2 linked regions of the Drosophila melanogaster genome follow. The protein of the gene in region 1 purifies or fractionates together with the protein of each later gene. This does not show direct contact. Each region holds a gene or a part of one and is shown on either strand. Other genes may lie near its edges.

Region 1 (6,654 bases):
GTACACGTAGCCGTGTGTACTCGAATTATACGAAGGTGCGTAAGGCGATGACTATAAATCGGAGAAGGTAACGAGACAACATACGTATATGTATATGCATGGGATAAGGTAAGGGGGTCAAAATAAGTCAATAAGATCGCCGTGTTAAGCCAATGTCTTAAAATACAGGGCCGGAGCGAGAGGGTGGCTAAGTTTTTAATTTGATCAAAGGCAATTTTAAATCGGAATTATGCTGTATCCACTAAATTTTATTACAATTGAAACTGTTTTGGGGGGTGACGCCCCAAAATGACCCCGCCGACTCCGCTCCTGGAGCCAGGGAATGCACCCACACTCGCGCACAAATAAATAGGGCGTAAAATGCTAATCTTGTGAATACGTGAATGTACATACATGTGTATGTACATACTCCACGCAAATCAAGTGTACATTATGTACATGCGAACGTATGTAAGATCGGAAATCAGGTGAAAAGCCCAGGGCCCAATAGCACAGGTGGGGGCGGGCGCGTTAGCACGGGACATTTGCTTTAATATTAACATGTTTTCTGTTTCGCACTTTCTTCATTTTTTCATCTTTATTTTGGTTTTTTAGCCAGGCCAAAAGTTTACGCATACAGTGGCAATGTGTGTAGTACGTGCAAGGGTACAACTGCATGTGTGTGCATAGTAGGTGGGATTAGGGCTCATCTGCACGGGCTAAGTTTCCCTTATATCCCGTTATACTACTCGAATTCTGTAAACTTAAATGTTGTGAATGAAACTAAAATATAAATAAGCTACATTACTTTGCCAGTCACATTATAGACCTCTTTTAAGCCTCAAAAGCGGCGATTCCATGCGGAATTTAGGTCGTGCGAAGGGGCCTTAAGCGCGTTCTGGGTTAAGAACCCCCGCCCACGACCCCCTTACCACAACGACCCATCCCACAATCCGAGCATCCTTTTTCCTGAACCCGGTGCGATATTTGTTGGTTGATTCGAAGGATTCCCATACCAGATTTTGATTCCGATTCGGTGGTTCTGAATTCAGATAGTGATTCGATTGGATTCGATTTCATTCGACTGGATTTGATTCGTGTTTCGCATGCAATTTGAGTTTTGAAAACGACAAACAAGGTAAAATAATAATAAAATGTGTACCAATATGTCAAGCGTCAACGAATGCAAACGCACACTGAGGTGAATTGTTAGTTGTCTACACACGTTACCTTCGGGTATTGATTGTTTTTTAAAAGAAAACACAAAAAAAAAGCCGCGAAAATCACACAACCAGATTATCGATTTTGGCCCCCGCTGAAATTGGCGCACACAACACACAAATTTGACTGGGGAACGAACAGCGGGCGATGCAAACGATTCGGTTCCGACTTGGAATATATAGCTGCCGAACTATCGGTGCAACAATCGGATCGCTCAACCGGTCGCTCCATCTGCAGGGAATACCAAAACGCCTCAGTTAAGTGGCGCGCGAATGAAGGTACTTGCGCTTAGCCACCAGCTGGGCACACTGCACGAGCCTGCATAGAGTTTTTTACGAAATTATCACAATTTAGGAGTTTTCCAATTAGAATTGGAATAAGTTCGTACTCTTAACTTGCTAACAAGTTGATTTTTAATGCAAAACTTTTCGCAGACAACTTTTCGACAAGAACAGTGCTGCCAGACTGTCAGACCGGCACCTTACTGGCGTGTTTTTATCACATTTTCTAATATTTCCAAGCTATTGAAATATTCCAAAGCTTTCTATCTGCACATTCTTTTTATATAGGTGTTCCCAGAAAATCGCCTTAGCATGGAGAGTCGTGCTAATACGGCGTTGCCAGACTGTCATTGCATTTCTTGTTGCTCTTTGCAAGAGCCCGCCAAATGAAATTTTTATTTGAATACAATTTATTTTTTTCTTCCCCCGTTCTTTTGCTTGTATAATATCCCAACTGGAAAATGTGTACTTTTCAATTACGAAACATGTACAATATATAGCAATAAAGTCCAGTAAAATCGTGGTATGTTTACAATTACTTTTTTGGGCCTGATGATACGTTGCCATTAAAGTGCAATGTCATACCACTAATGTAAGTTTTTTAACCCTTTATACCCCCCAATAGCTTGCCCATAATCCTCCCGTGAACAATCTTGAATCCCAAATGCAAGAACAAAGTTCGAATATTCAACAGGAGCTCCGCCTAATGTATGATGACGCATGTATTTTATACAGATCAAATATTTTCATACCGTTTTACAGGGTTCCGAAGAATAGAAAGTGGTAATTAAAAAAAGTATGCATTCGGTTCACCGAATTCAATTTGAATCGTTTTCCAAGTCAAATCAGGTTGGCTACAATGAGCAGACAGAATGTGGGCGGCGACACCAGATAGTGTCGCCGAATGCATGGAAAGCGATTCAATGCAACGGCCTTCCATCGAAGAAGTGTCCCAGCTGCTGGGTGTTACTTTTTCTGTTTCTTCTTCTCGAGCTCCTCCTCCTTCTCCTTCTCGATGATCTTAACATAATCGGTAATGACATCGGTGTCCAGCATTTTCAGTGGCTTGCCGTTCTCCATGATGGCCACCTCCAGATTGTTCTGGCCTGACTGCGCCACCTCGAGCAGCGCACGGATGGCCAGTTTGACGGCTCCGTGCTCGTTGGCCACCTCCTCCTCGCGGTAGGACTTCTCGAAGAACTCGCGCACAACCTTTGCCGATCGCCCGGTGGCGTTAGCCTTATACTCGTAGAAAATGCCCGACGGCTCAGTCTGGAACAGATGCGCAGAGCCATCGGCATCGAAGCCGCCAATAAGGCAGGAAATACCGAAGGGACGGCGGCCATTGCTCTGCGTGTATTTTTGTTTCAGCTGGGCAATGAATCTAAAATGAAAGGCCAAAACCATATAGAAGCTAATTTAGAGCGCAACTATTTCACAAATCCTCACCTGGTTATGTACTCGAGGGTCACGGGATCCTCGACATTGAGACGATGGCTCTGGCACTCCACCTGGGCACGATTGATCATGATGCGAGCGTCGGCCGTGAGACCGGCAAAAGCCATTACAACGTGGTTGTCGAGCATGCAAATCTTGCGCACCTTTCGATCCTCCTGCAGTTGGGCCACCGACTTCTTCTCCACGCCAAGCACAACGCAGTTGGCGCCGCGAACTCCGACCTGCGAGGCGAAAAATTGGAAAAGTCCATGTTTGTTTCGGTTTGGCGGCACTGCGAACGGTACTAAATTGCACTTACCGCAGTCGATCCCTTGCGAACGGCCTCCTGGGCATACTCCACCTGCAGGAGGTGACCGTCGGGAGAGAATATGGTTACAGCACGATCGTAGCGTGAGGACATCTTGTTGCTTTATTCAATAGCTGAGGTACTTGCAGAATATTAACTTATAGCTTTTTCCTTCTCGAATTCGCCAGGCAATGATGATGCTTTTTTGAGGAAATGCCGCAGTGTGACCGCAGCATGGGTTCGATGAAAATTACTAAATTAATACCGTTTCGCAGTGAACGATATATCGTTGCTGAAATCATGTATCAGAATCAATTCAATTCTTGTTACTTCAGTCTATTTAATATTCTATTCCATTTAGTCTATTTAAATATTTAATTTAATACTTTTGTAAACCGTTTTACAGCTTCAGGGCTGTAAATAATTTAGTAAAATATCAATTAATTTTTTTTCACATTATCTGTTATTATTGTTATTTAATAATACAAATTTATAATACAAATTATTTTCAATATATATATATATATATGTATTAATAATTATAACCAACGACTGTTACTTAAATGTACAAAATGCAATCGCTATGCCGGCCCTGGTAATCGGTGTTCATCGACAGCTTGCTGCAGCCCTCGTCGTCGCTGTAATTACAATGTGATGTGCATTTGTTTTTGTTAATAAGAATTGTCCGATTAAACATTTAGATTATCTGTTTTTAAACAATGCGATCACGGTGATATCGGTTCGTAAAGGTTTTACACACCGTGTGATTTTGTTTCAGTGCGTTTTGTTGTTCGTTTCGTAAATAAGTGGGCTTCATTTTGCCCAAAAAAGACGGGAGCCCAGACAGCTGATCACAGACTTTGGCTCACACCTGCTACAAAAAGATAATATTTATTCGAAAACCTGGCATTCGGATCGAATTTAGCAGCTGCCAGCGTATTTATATAAGAACAATTTGATTGATTATGGCGCTGCCCAGAAAACTGATATCCAAGATCTGTAAGTAAACCGAATGTTCGAAAGTACCGTTGTATATTCCCACACACACACAAGCACGTAGAAATACGACTGCATGTATATATGTGTGTGTGCGTGCGTGTTTGAAATCCTATCGTAAATTCTAGTGTTGCATGCAACTTCAGTAACTTTTAAAACAATACCACGCGTTCTTATAAACAATGCAGATATCCAATAGGAAAATCCCCAGGTGCACATATGTATGTATGTAGATACATATGAACATTGAGTGCAGCTGCAGCTGAATTGTTCGTTTTAAAGTAATTAATATCTTGTTTTACAACGCAATATCAATATCAAATAAACATCATACGGCTTCTTCAGACTTTAAAATAATATTTGTATATAGCCTTTAGAAAACTTCAATTCAATCCCAAGAACTATAGAAGTTCAAAAAGGTTTTAATCTGGGAACAAGTTTTCAATTTCTTTGAAATGCGTACATTTACGTACATATGTATGTACATATATACTGTACATATGTATGTATGTACATCGATTTCCTAGCTTTATTTTATCTGTTTTGCTTTTCAAAATACTAGTAATCCTTGTCATTCATAAATGTGGATAACGTAAAAGGTACTTATTTATTTATATCGACACAGTTTCCTTTGAAAAGATTCAAAAATCATTATAAAATTGTATTTATTGAGTATATACTAATACGAAAATATCATATTTTTATTATTATATATTTGTTGTAAGTTTTCCTTTTGATCTTGAAAAGCTGTTGTTTAAAGCATAGCTTAATCTGAACATACTAACTATATCATCATATCATGAAAACTTGCCGAAGAGGACTAACCAATTCTCATCCTTTGCAGACGATATAAAGGCACATGATAGCAGGGTCACGAGCCTTGATCTTGGCGAAACTGGACGAGTGCTGGTCACCGGAGGAGAGGATCGCAATGTGAACCTCTGGGCGATTGGTCAAAATGAGTGCTTTATGGTGAATATACTAACTACTTCCTAAATATATGTATGTACTAATCGGTGACCCTTTCCTTTCAGTCTCTGACGGGCCACAATCGTTCCATCGATTGCGTGCGTTTTGCTTATAAGGATAACTTTGTCTACTCCGCCGACGACATCGGTATAATCCGAAGATGGGATCTGAATTCACAGAAAATCTACTCCACGCTAAATGGCCACATGAAGAGTGTTCGCACTCTGGACTTTAACCCGTCTGGAGAATATGTGGTGTCCGGGAGCAATGATACCACCGTCAGGTGAGCCAAGGACCGATATATAAATAGTCAGAGTAACCCATGAGTCATTCGGAAGCTCTAGTTTCCTTATCAAGTGGCAGATTTAAAGTTTATTCGTTGATTGAAAAGGGATGGCGATATTCTCCCTCCCTCTTTTAGCTGTGCTTAATCCTATAGAATCGCGTATTTTGGGTTTAATAATCTACACAAAAGAAAAATCTCATATTTAGAAATTAGAAATTTTATATCGGTTTAATGCACATACATATTAGATGCATTGTATCTATATGGTCTTTTCTTAGATATCACTTGACCTATATATGTGTAAAACAAAGATAATATGACTCACTACATTGCACAAAAGGGGACAGGCTGACAAAGATAATATCACTTTGTGTTGTTTAGCTAAAGTTGATATTTCTTTTGGGATCTCATATATCTTATCTCTCAGATCTATTACATCCATGATCTTAAACAACATTGCATTTTCAGTTATGTGATGTTTTATTGGGAGTTTTATAAAAGTGTTACAAAAAAATACTTCTACCACCACGGGCGTTTAAACAATTGCATATGTATAGGCATATTTGTTATAGTGTATGTACAAAAAAAAACGGACGCGAAACGAATTATAAAGTCAATGATAATCCATTGCGACTAAGGCAGACTATGTGTCTCTAGGTGATCCGCGCTTACAGCTTGGCCTGTGAGCTCTTCAGGTCGACATAGGCGCCGGATATGACCTCCTTGCCGGTCTCCACGACCACGGTGCGGAAGTTGATGCGTGTGCCCTGCTTCCACAAGTCCACGCGCAAAGTCTGGCCCGGAATTACGGGTCCGGAGAAGCGCACTTTGACAGCCTTGAACAGAGCCGGGTTGTTGTCCGCAAACTGAGCGAGCACGGCGCGCACCGAGAAGCCCAGTGTGCAGAGTCCATGGAGGATGGGTGTCTTGAAGCCGGCCAGCAGGGCCATCTGGGGATCGATATGCAGGGGGTTCTTGTCGCCGGACAGACGGTACAGCGCCGCCTGGTCCTCGCTGGTCGTATACTGGACGGTTGCGTCCGGTTGGCGATTGGGCGCCGGCTGCAGCGGAACTACACCAGCGATGGGATCCTTCTTGCCTCCGAATTTGCCAGCGCCGACAATGAAAGTGGTGCTCTGGTTGCGCACCAACAGGCGGCCACTTTCGTCGAACGACTC
Region 2 (8,555 bases), on another chromosome or scaffold:
ATATTATTTATTTTATATTTTGAGCTTAATATATTAAATCACATATATTTAAGCCTCTTTATATATGTAAATATTTTAATTTTATTAAAATAAATTATATATTGTTTTGTAATATGATCGAGGGCTGCCACCTTGTGATAAATGCTTACCAACACTTTTAGGTACGCCGTTTAGTGTACGTAAGTTGCGTACCTAGATATCCAGCGAAATCAAAACATTGAGTAAATCGTGGAAAATGGATGAAAATAGCTTAATCTACGGACTCGAACTGCAGGCGCGGGCTTTAACACCTCAGTACGGAGAGAGCAACGATGTGTGCTTCTTCATAGCCACCAACTCCTTGAAGCCCACCAATCAGGTTCACTTAATCCAGTACGAGGAGGAGCAGGGATCCGTGCAATCAAAGGTGAATATCTGGGATGATCAAAGTATGAGCTAAACATACAACTTTGAACAGGTCTTTGAGCACGCCCTGGGTGAAGTTTGGAAACTAAATAGTTGTCCGCGTAATCCTCGCCTGCTGGCCTCCGTCTACAATGTACAAAAGGGAGCACAAGTGCTGACCAAAGCGGCTCTGTTTACGCTGCCCGAGAATCTCAATCCCGATCCGGAGCAGCTGAAGTCAGAGTACCTGCCGTGGGAGCAGGTTGAGGTCCTGGATACCGAAGCACTGGGCGAACGTGTGAAGACCATCGAATTCCATCCCAACCAGGACACACTCGCCTGTGTGGTGGACAACAAGGTGGCTGTGATGCAGCGGGCCGAGTCCTCTACTCGCGTGGTGGCCGAGGTGCCGGCCAGTGGTTCATCCAGTGGATCTGCAAAGCACACACAGCATTTCACCAGCGGCAAGTGGTCGCATCATCATCAGGGCCACCAGTTTCTCACCCTCCAGGATGGCAATCTAAGTGCCTACGATGTGCGGGATACACAGCATTGTGCCTGGAGCATCAACGATGCGCATGGTCAAATGGTCCGTGACCTGGACTGCAATCCCAACAAGCAGTGCCATTTGGTCACCGGCGGTGACGATGGCTACTTGAGGATCTGGGACTGTCGCATGCCCAAGGCTCCCGTTTTCGAGCGCTCCGATCATTCGCATTGGGTCTGGTGCGTTCGCTTCAACACATTCCACGACCAACTGATCCTCTCCAGCTCCAGTGACTGCAAGGTGCTGCTCACGTGTGCGGGATCGGTTAGTTCGGAGACGCAGGTTCAGGCTGGACTAGATGAGTCCAACTTCAGTGGTGCCGATGCCGAGGAGAGGCACAAACTCTTGCCAGATGGTCTGCTGCAGACCTTCGATCAGCACGAGGACTCCGTTTACTGCGCGGAGTGGAGCAATGTGGATCCGTGGATCTTTGCTTCGCTCAGCTACGATGGTCGCGTCATAATCTCAAAGGTGCCCAAGCAGTACAAGTACCAGATTATATTTTAAGCCATTAGTTTCTTAAATTATTACGCATATTTCATTTAAATCTAACTAAACGAATTGTGTCCTTGTATGTAGTAGCAGGTTATACAAATATTAAACCAATAAGTTATTATATGAAGATAAATATATCGAGGGACTAAAGCTAATTAGGCTTAACCTGTATCCTCGGATGTGCAGTCGGAGGAATCATTGGGATTGGCAGTTTCCACGGAACAAACTCGCTTGATCAGCTCGTTTTCGATCTCCACAGTGCCATTGTCCACTGCCTCCTCCATCTGCACGTACTCTATGGTGGCGGCACTTTTCTTGGTGGATAGGACAGGTTTTGCGGCAGCAGGAGCAGGTGTTTCTGCAGTCTTTTTAGCCTGGGCTTCCGTATCATCCTCGGCTTCCTCAGCCAAACTGCTACGCTGCGGCTGAACTTCGGCGTAAATGGCGGGAAACTGCGACTGTAGCTTCTGCTTGATGATCCGTATCTTGCGGAATATGTAATCCAGATCCTTCTTCATTTCGCTCAGGCATTTCACGTGTCTTTTGAAATCCTCGCTGGCACTTTTCAAACGACTCTGCGATAAGGCATTGCAGTTGAGCAGCATCTCGTTGGTTTTCTCAAAGCGTTGCAGCCTGTGGGATATATTTTGGATGTTTATTATAATCTCTGGTTAAATGAAATGGCTTACATTTGCTTTTGAGCCCGTATCATGGTCTCCACATCGCCCTGATTCACCATTCCTGCGAGACTTTGAATGAAGGCCTCGGCGGCGGAGTTGCCGAAGCCAGTGAAGGATTCCAGGTCAGGAGTGGCATCCTCGGACTGGTGCACATCCGCAAGGCCCAAGTGGCTCATTGTAGCCTAGAATTTATTTGTTTATAATAAGGGAGAACACAAAAATTGATTTGTTTACTTGCTTTTCAAGGTCTCAAGGTTTCTTTGCGACAACTTGAACTCTGCTTTGTGTGCGTTTGCTGGCAGTTTTAGTTTTTTCTATTTTTATTTACGTTTTCAAATGGATCTCATGTTTCCATCTATTTTAAAAGTTCTTTTGTTTAGATTTCTTAAAAAAAAAGATATTTTCGTAACAGCTGTTTAAGTACTAGTTATAAACCAGTGCTGCAAGCTGCCAAAATGCAAAAGCACTGCCGTAATTAAATTTGAACATTTTACTTTTTAACATAAAATTAACACTGTTTTATGACAACATTTGTTCCTATTTAATATAAATCAAAGTTTCTTTAGCTATTTAAACACTTAAAAATATTTAAATAATAAAGCTTAGCAGAATGGCATTGGGTATTTTTACGCAAAGCCGTTTTGGTCACACTATGCTCACCGGCTTTTTTTTTATTAAGCGATTGAATTTCCTTATTTATTCTTGATTTAAACGTGCAAAATGAAGCTCGCTCCGACTGTTAAGCTAAACAATGGCTACGAGATGCCAATTCTGGGCCTAGGAACCTACAATGTAAGTCCTTATCATCGGCGATGCTAATAAATCAGCAGGCAGAAATTGTTTATGGAAATTTCTACCATTCAATTCCAATTAAGTGCAATTGTGAAATTGAAAGTTAATTATGTTATCTGTAGTTAAAGAAGTCTCGCTGTGAGGCTGCCGTGTGCCACGCCCTCGAAATGGGCTATCGGCATATAGACACCGCATATCTGTACAGGAATGAAGGCATTATAGGCAAGGTTTTAGCTAAACTTATTGGCGACCAGAAACTGAAACGCGAACAGGTGTTTCTGGTCACAAAGGTAGGATATAGTACAGATGGGTTATATATAGTTACCAGCACATGTAAATAGATCGAAAATCAATATCCAATTAGCTGTGGGACATATACCACGAACCCAAGATGGTGAAATACGCCTGTGATATGCAATTAAAGCTACTGGGCGTGGACTATATAGATCTATATCTGATGCATTCGCCGGTGGGCGTGGACTACATCTCTGATGAAGATCTGATGCCCCACGAGAATGGCCAGCTGAGGACCAAGTGAGTTTGGGATACAACTAAACATACATAGTTTAGATTCAAGAAGCTTAAAGAAACTGATCTTTGGAACTTATAGCGATGTGGACTATGTGGACACCTACAGAAGTATGGAGCAACTGGTGCATCTGGGGCTGGTGCGCAGCTTGGGATTGTCCAACTTTAATGCCAATCAGCTGAAGAGATTACTGGAAAACTGCCAAATCAAGCCGGCAAACCTACAAATAGAATGTCATCCGGAATTGGTGCAAGTCCCATTAATTGAGCTCTGTAAATTTCACAATATCACCGTGGTTGCCTATTCGCCACTGGGGCGTCCCAAAGCCTGCAATCCGCTGCCCGATTACTACACTGATTCCAAGCTACTGGCGTTGGCAGCGAAATACGGCAAGACACCAGCTCAAATCATCCTAAGATACTTGGTATAAACGACCTTAGAATTGTAAAGTGATAAAGATATTTATTGGCTAAAAATCTACAGATCGATATTGGCACGGTACCTATTCCAAAAGCTGCCCAGCGAGCCCATCTCGTAGAGAATCTGGATATATTTGATTTCCACCTAACGCCGGAGGAGTTGCTCCAAATGAAGACCTTTAATACAGGGCGCAGAATCTGGAAATTCGATAAAGCGAAGAATCATCAGTACTATCCGTACTAGCAAGAGATATTTAGTGTTCGGAAAAAAAGTGTAACTATGTAAATGTATAAGATAGAATCTCGTTAGATAGTTTAGTTTTTACGTTAGTTTTTTTTTAGTACAATATTACAATGTTATAAAATGTCATCATATCAATCGTTATCATATATAAATATACTATATTTTGTGCTAGATATGATCCTATTAACATTTTAAGTGCTCACCTGGGGAAATAATTATTTGTATCTCTCTAAATGTCTCTATCAAAGTTTATCGAATCTTTCGTGTGCCTTGCGACGTTGATCAGTTGTATAATTTCGGATATTGTTTCGATTTGTCAATTCGCGGCTCTCCGATATGCTCACAATTTCCTGGCCGAAACGAACGTGTTGCTGTGGTCGAAAATAACAATATACTGATCTCAAGAGTCGCATTATAAAACACATATTTGATTCTGTCAGAAAGGAGAAAGGTTAATGATGAATTTGATATTCTCTATTTGCAGTCGAAGGACAACGAAGGCGAAGCCGCTGTGAAACATGCGATTGATGTGGGCTATCGTCATATAGATACGGCCTATTTCTACCAAAACGAGGCCGAAGTGGGCAAGGCGATTCGGGACAAGATCGCAGAAGGTGTGGTCAAGCGAGAGGATATATTTTTGGTCACTAAGGTAAATGCCATGATGATATGTTCTAGATCTATCAATAAGATTATATTTTTGCGCAGCTTTGGAACATTTTCCACGATCCAGAGCGCGTTGAGGGCATTTGCCGCAAGCAGTTAAGCAATTTTGGCTTGGACTATATCGATCTGTATCTGATGCATATGCCAGTGGGCTACAAATATGTAGATGACAACACCCTGCTGCCCAAAAATGAGGACGATGTGCTCCAACTGAGCGATGTCGACTATCTGGATACGTACAAAGCCATGGAAAAGCTGGTAAAACTGGGCCTGGTGCGCAGCATCGGAGTATCCAACTTCAACAGCGAGCAGCTGGCACGAGTTTTGGCCAACTGCGAGATCAAACCCGTCACTAACCAGGTGGAGTGCTCGCCTGCGCTCAACCAGAAGGCTTTGACAGCCTTCTGCAAGAAGAACGACGTCACCTTGACGGGCTACACGCCTTTGGGAAAGCCCAAGCCGGATATTCAGAAGCCGGACTTTATCTATTCGCCGGAGGTGGCTGTTATTGCCAAAAAATATGGCAAGACTACACCGCAGATTGTGCTGCGTTACCTGGTAATTGAGGCATCAACCTGACCTCAGCGACAGCATCTAATTAAAATCTCTCTTTTCGCAGGTTGGTCTGGGTGTCATTCCCATTCCAAAGTCATCGAATACTAACCGAATTTCTGAGAACTTCGATATCTTCGATTTTGAGCTGACAGCCGAGGAAATGGCCGTTCTCGATGGTTATCACACTGGCGAACGGGTGGTGCCATTAAATTTGATTAAGGGCCTCAACCACAAGTACTACCCCTTTTCAATTGAGTTTTAAACCAGATGAGCGCCTTGTTGCTGTATCACGAATATAATGTAATAAATTTGTCATTACATCAATCTCTATGACAACAAATTGAATGCACGAATGTATCTGCATACTTATTCCAAACCCAAATCCAACACAAAGCTCTTAGTGCCTTGATGTTCTCCATGAAATCCGTCCAGTTGCCAACGATCCGATCCGCACCCCACCGTGGAACTTATTCCCAGAAATGAGGAGCAAATGGAAGCATCGATCTTTGGCACGGCACGTTTGACATCCAAGCTAAAAGGTGAAAATGTTTGAATAAGACCGAAATATTAAGTATTAAGCTTTTACGACCAATGGTAATGCGAAGTGCTCAAACTTGGAGATCACCAATGGAGATTCAAATTTAAGTTACATGTGGAAAAAACTGTATACCTGCATTATTTCAATCATTTCAATAGTTGTTCAGCTTAGACATTGATTAATGAACTAGTGATATTTTTAGAAGGTGCTTCAAGCTTTTCTACAGTAACTTTAGATATAGAAAATAGAAAAAAGTTTAGTAAGTAAATAAGACGTAAAAAAGCATATGGATTTAAGATGGATATGTGATTTAAAAAACGTTCTTTTAGAAGAACTTGTGCTGATTGCCAGCTGTTAGCCTAAATTGCTACATCAATTTTAAGGACGCATTTTTTGTTTGCCAACATTCTCTTATCAATGGATCTTCTATTCTGATGTATGGCCAAAAAATATCACGCGGAAGCTATTAGTTGCGCCAACCGCAGAAATGAAGCATGAAAGTATTATGGCTATTAGTTGATGTACCTATTACGCCCGACAGGCTAATTATCTTTGGATTGTTGGGTACATTTTGGGTTAATCGCGCCGCCGTAGACCTTTGTAAATAGCACCTCGGCCTGTGGGGTGACGTCAGAGCCAGCCAAGATGAGCACGGGCTGAATGAAATTGGGGTCGTCTAGCCTTTGAGCTGCCCCAAAATAGTGCATGGATGAGTGAATTAAATAGCGGACCGGACTTGGACTTACGTGCTGCTCCACGAGTCGATTAGAGGAGAATCTGTGGCATGCGCCACCTTGACCCAGGCCAAGAATAACATAACCCACCAAAACCACTTTCCATGCTGCAGATGGGTATCTCCTAGCTGGGATCGGATGCTCACTAAGTGCTCCACTGAGCCTCTTAGCCTCTCCACTCCAACCAAAATTCCACTCAAGCGTTTGAGTGAGTGAATTGCGGCCGAGAGCGTGAGGTTTAAATAAATTTTCAGTCAAAAAATTGGCAGTTTCGCTCCAAGCGTGCCCACGTTCACATCGTCGCCAGTTCAGTTGCGGAACTCATACACGGATATATATACACATATATTCCGGCGATCAATTAGAGCCCCGGAATTCAGCCACATCCCTCCCCTGCGACGCGTCCAAATATTGTTATATAAGTTTAACAACTTGTGAAATCCACGCAGTGCCAGTGCGTAAGACCAAAAGTGAGTTGAGCTGAGAATTACAACCCCCCCCCCCCCCCCCACATATACCATCTATTTGGTTGCAAAACCAAAAAGGATCGAATCGTGCATTATGTAAAGGCCCGAGAAAAGCGAGGTGGCGGGGAAAAACTTTCGCTTTCACCCAAGTACAGCTGGCTGCAGCTGCTGCGCATGCGCAGATACATTCGCAGATTGCTACTGTTTGCCGGGGATAAACCAGCCACACTATCGACTTGAATAAATCAGGTTCCCAAATAAGATACATTTGTACTTTTTGAGCCAGAAAAGATAGATTCTTAGAATGATACTATAGTTGGTAAATATATAAAATTATAGATATGATATATGAGCTATTTTTAAAGGATTTTTTCATAGGCTCTTTTCATAGTAAGCTATTAAAATGTTTTCTAAAATCTTTGCGCAATAATATTTCAATTTAAAATGTAAATAATAATAATATTTTTAGTTATATTTCGCTAGCTCCTTGAATTTCTCCCAGTGTAGCACTTGCACACCTTTGTTGATTGCTCTAAACTAGGTGCGTGGGTGTAGCCAAACTAAAATCGTATAGTTTTTTGTTTAGAGCCTTTTAATTGTGCTTTATTGACCCACTGCAAGTGCTTCGCTCTAGTCAATTATTTAAAGGCCAATAGTTAGCAGCTCTTCGAGAGTTTTGTAATTCTGTTTGCTGGCTTAATTGCCCAGCCAGACCACAAGAGGCCCGGGCGCACAAGGTCTTCTCGGCCGACAGCCGAAGTTGGCCAATACCGTAAAAGCCAAGTTGGTCGGTTATGTTGTTTGGTTGGAAAACGTACTCAATGCAATGCAATTTGTGCGGTTCGCATATAAATATTCATGGCAAGTGGCTATTGTGCAATTGCCAGGGACAAAGCCATCGACGTGACGGTTTCCTTTGACCAACAGCCACGACCTCGTCGGTAATTCTGGGTGCCATATGTCTAGTGAGTTGGATGGCCAGTTTTCCAGTTACAAGTGCAGTGGAATGGAGTTTTAACTCCATAACGCTACCTTGACCAACCGACTGGAATGGGCCACAAAAGCCTTGGGTGGCGAACGTGGTTAGCCTGGCTAATGAATTCCGCCCTGTAATCAGTGCCATTAGATTCTGACACACATGAATATAAAGCGCTACTCATCCGGGGAACATTAGCGAACTATTGTCGTAATTGTGGCAAAATGCAATCTGCATGATAATCCGGAAAGGCAGATGCAAATCGCCGCCAAATCGTAAACTCAACTGTTTGCCCATTCGAAATACGAAATTGAGTCAAAGCAAACACATATTGGCAATGTGCACGGTCATGGGGTGGGATTGGGCAAGTGCACGGTGAGAAATTAGGGGGTTACTTGCGCGAAAAAGCCTTGCTCTTGAATCTGACTTAGGTAGTAGATAATGAAAAACACAAGTCATTTGATGATTAAGTGTTAACTGTTGTGCCAAACAAAATGTATTTTATAGTGAGATTCAACTAAGATTATAA

The links.
Region 2: the proteins of Prosalpha4 (region 1) and CG10638 purify together in Drosophila melanogaster (affinity purification with mass spectrometry, with the first as the bait; one large-scale study listed by BioGRID). This does not show direct contact.

The regions. Positions count from the first base shown.
Region 1 is NC_004354.4:16,273,103-16,279,756, reverse strand, and holds Prosalpha4 (proteasome alpha4 subunit), read right to left. Parts: upstream 3,488-6,654; 5' UTR 3,340-3,487; coding exon 3,238-3,339; intron 3,161-3,237; coding exon 2,931-3,160; intron 2,866-2,930; coding exon 2,448-2,865; 3' UTR 2,170-2,447; downstream 1-2,169. Other genes in the region: Mfe2 (peroxisomal multifunctional enzyme type 2), read right to left, coding at 6,145-6,654; kat80 (katanin 80), read left to right, coding at 4,191-4,224, 5,066-5,193, 5,256-5,473. UniProt on the Drosophila melanogaster protein: The proteasome is a multicatalytic proteinase complex which is characterized by its ability to cleave peptides with Arg, Phe, Tyr, Leu, and Glu adjacent to the leaving group at neutral or slightly basic pH.
Region 2 is NT_037436.4:12,495,508-12,504,062, reverse strand, and holds CG10638 (uncharacterized protein), read left to right. Parts: upstream 1-2,751; 5' UTR 2,752-2,826; coding exon 2,827-2,898; intron 2,899-3,020; coding exon of another isoform or gene 3,021-3,188; intron 3,189-3,262; coding exon of another isoform or gene 3,263-3,432; intron 3,433-3,508; coding exon of another isoform or gene 3,509-3,851; exon of another isoform or gene 3,852-3,862; intron 3,863-3,910; coding exon of another isoform or gene 3,911-4,090; exon of another isoform or gene 4,091-4,262; intron 4,263-4,293; exon of another isoform or gene 4,294-4,461; intron 4,462-4,574; coding exon 4,575-4,742; intron 4,743-4,798; coding exon 4,799-5,314; intron 5,315-5,375; coding exon 5,376-5,573; 3' UTR 5,574-5,957; downstream 5,958-8,555. Other genes in the region: CG10646 (uncharacterized protein), read left to right, coding at 236-406, 458-1,438; CG10681 (uncharacterized protein), read right to left, coding at 1,588-2,059, 2,116-2,282; CG10657 (uncharacterized protein), read left to right, coding at 7,053-7,053.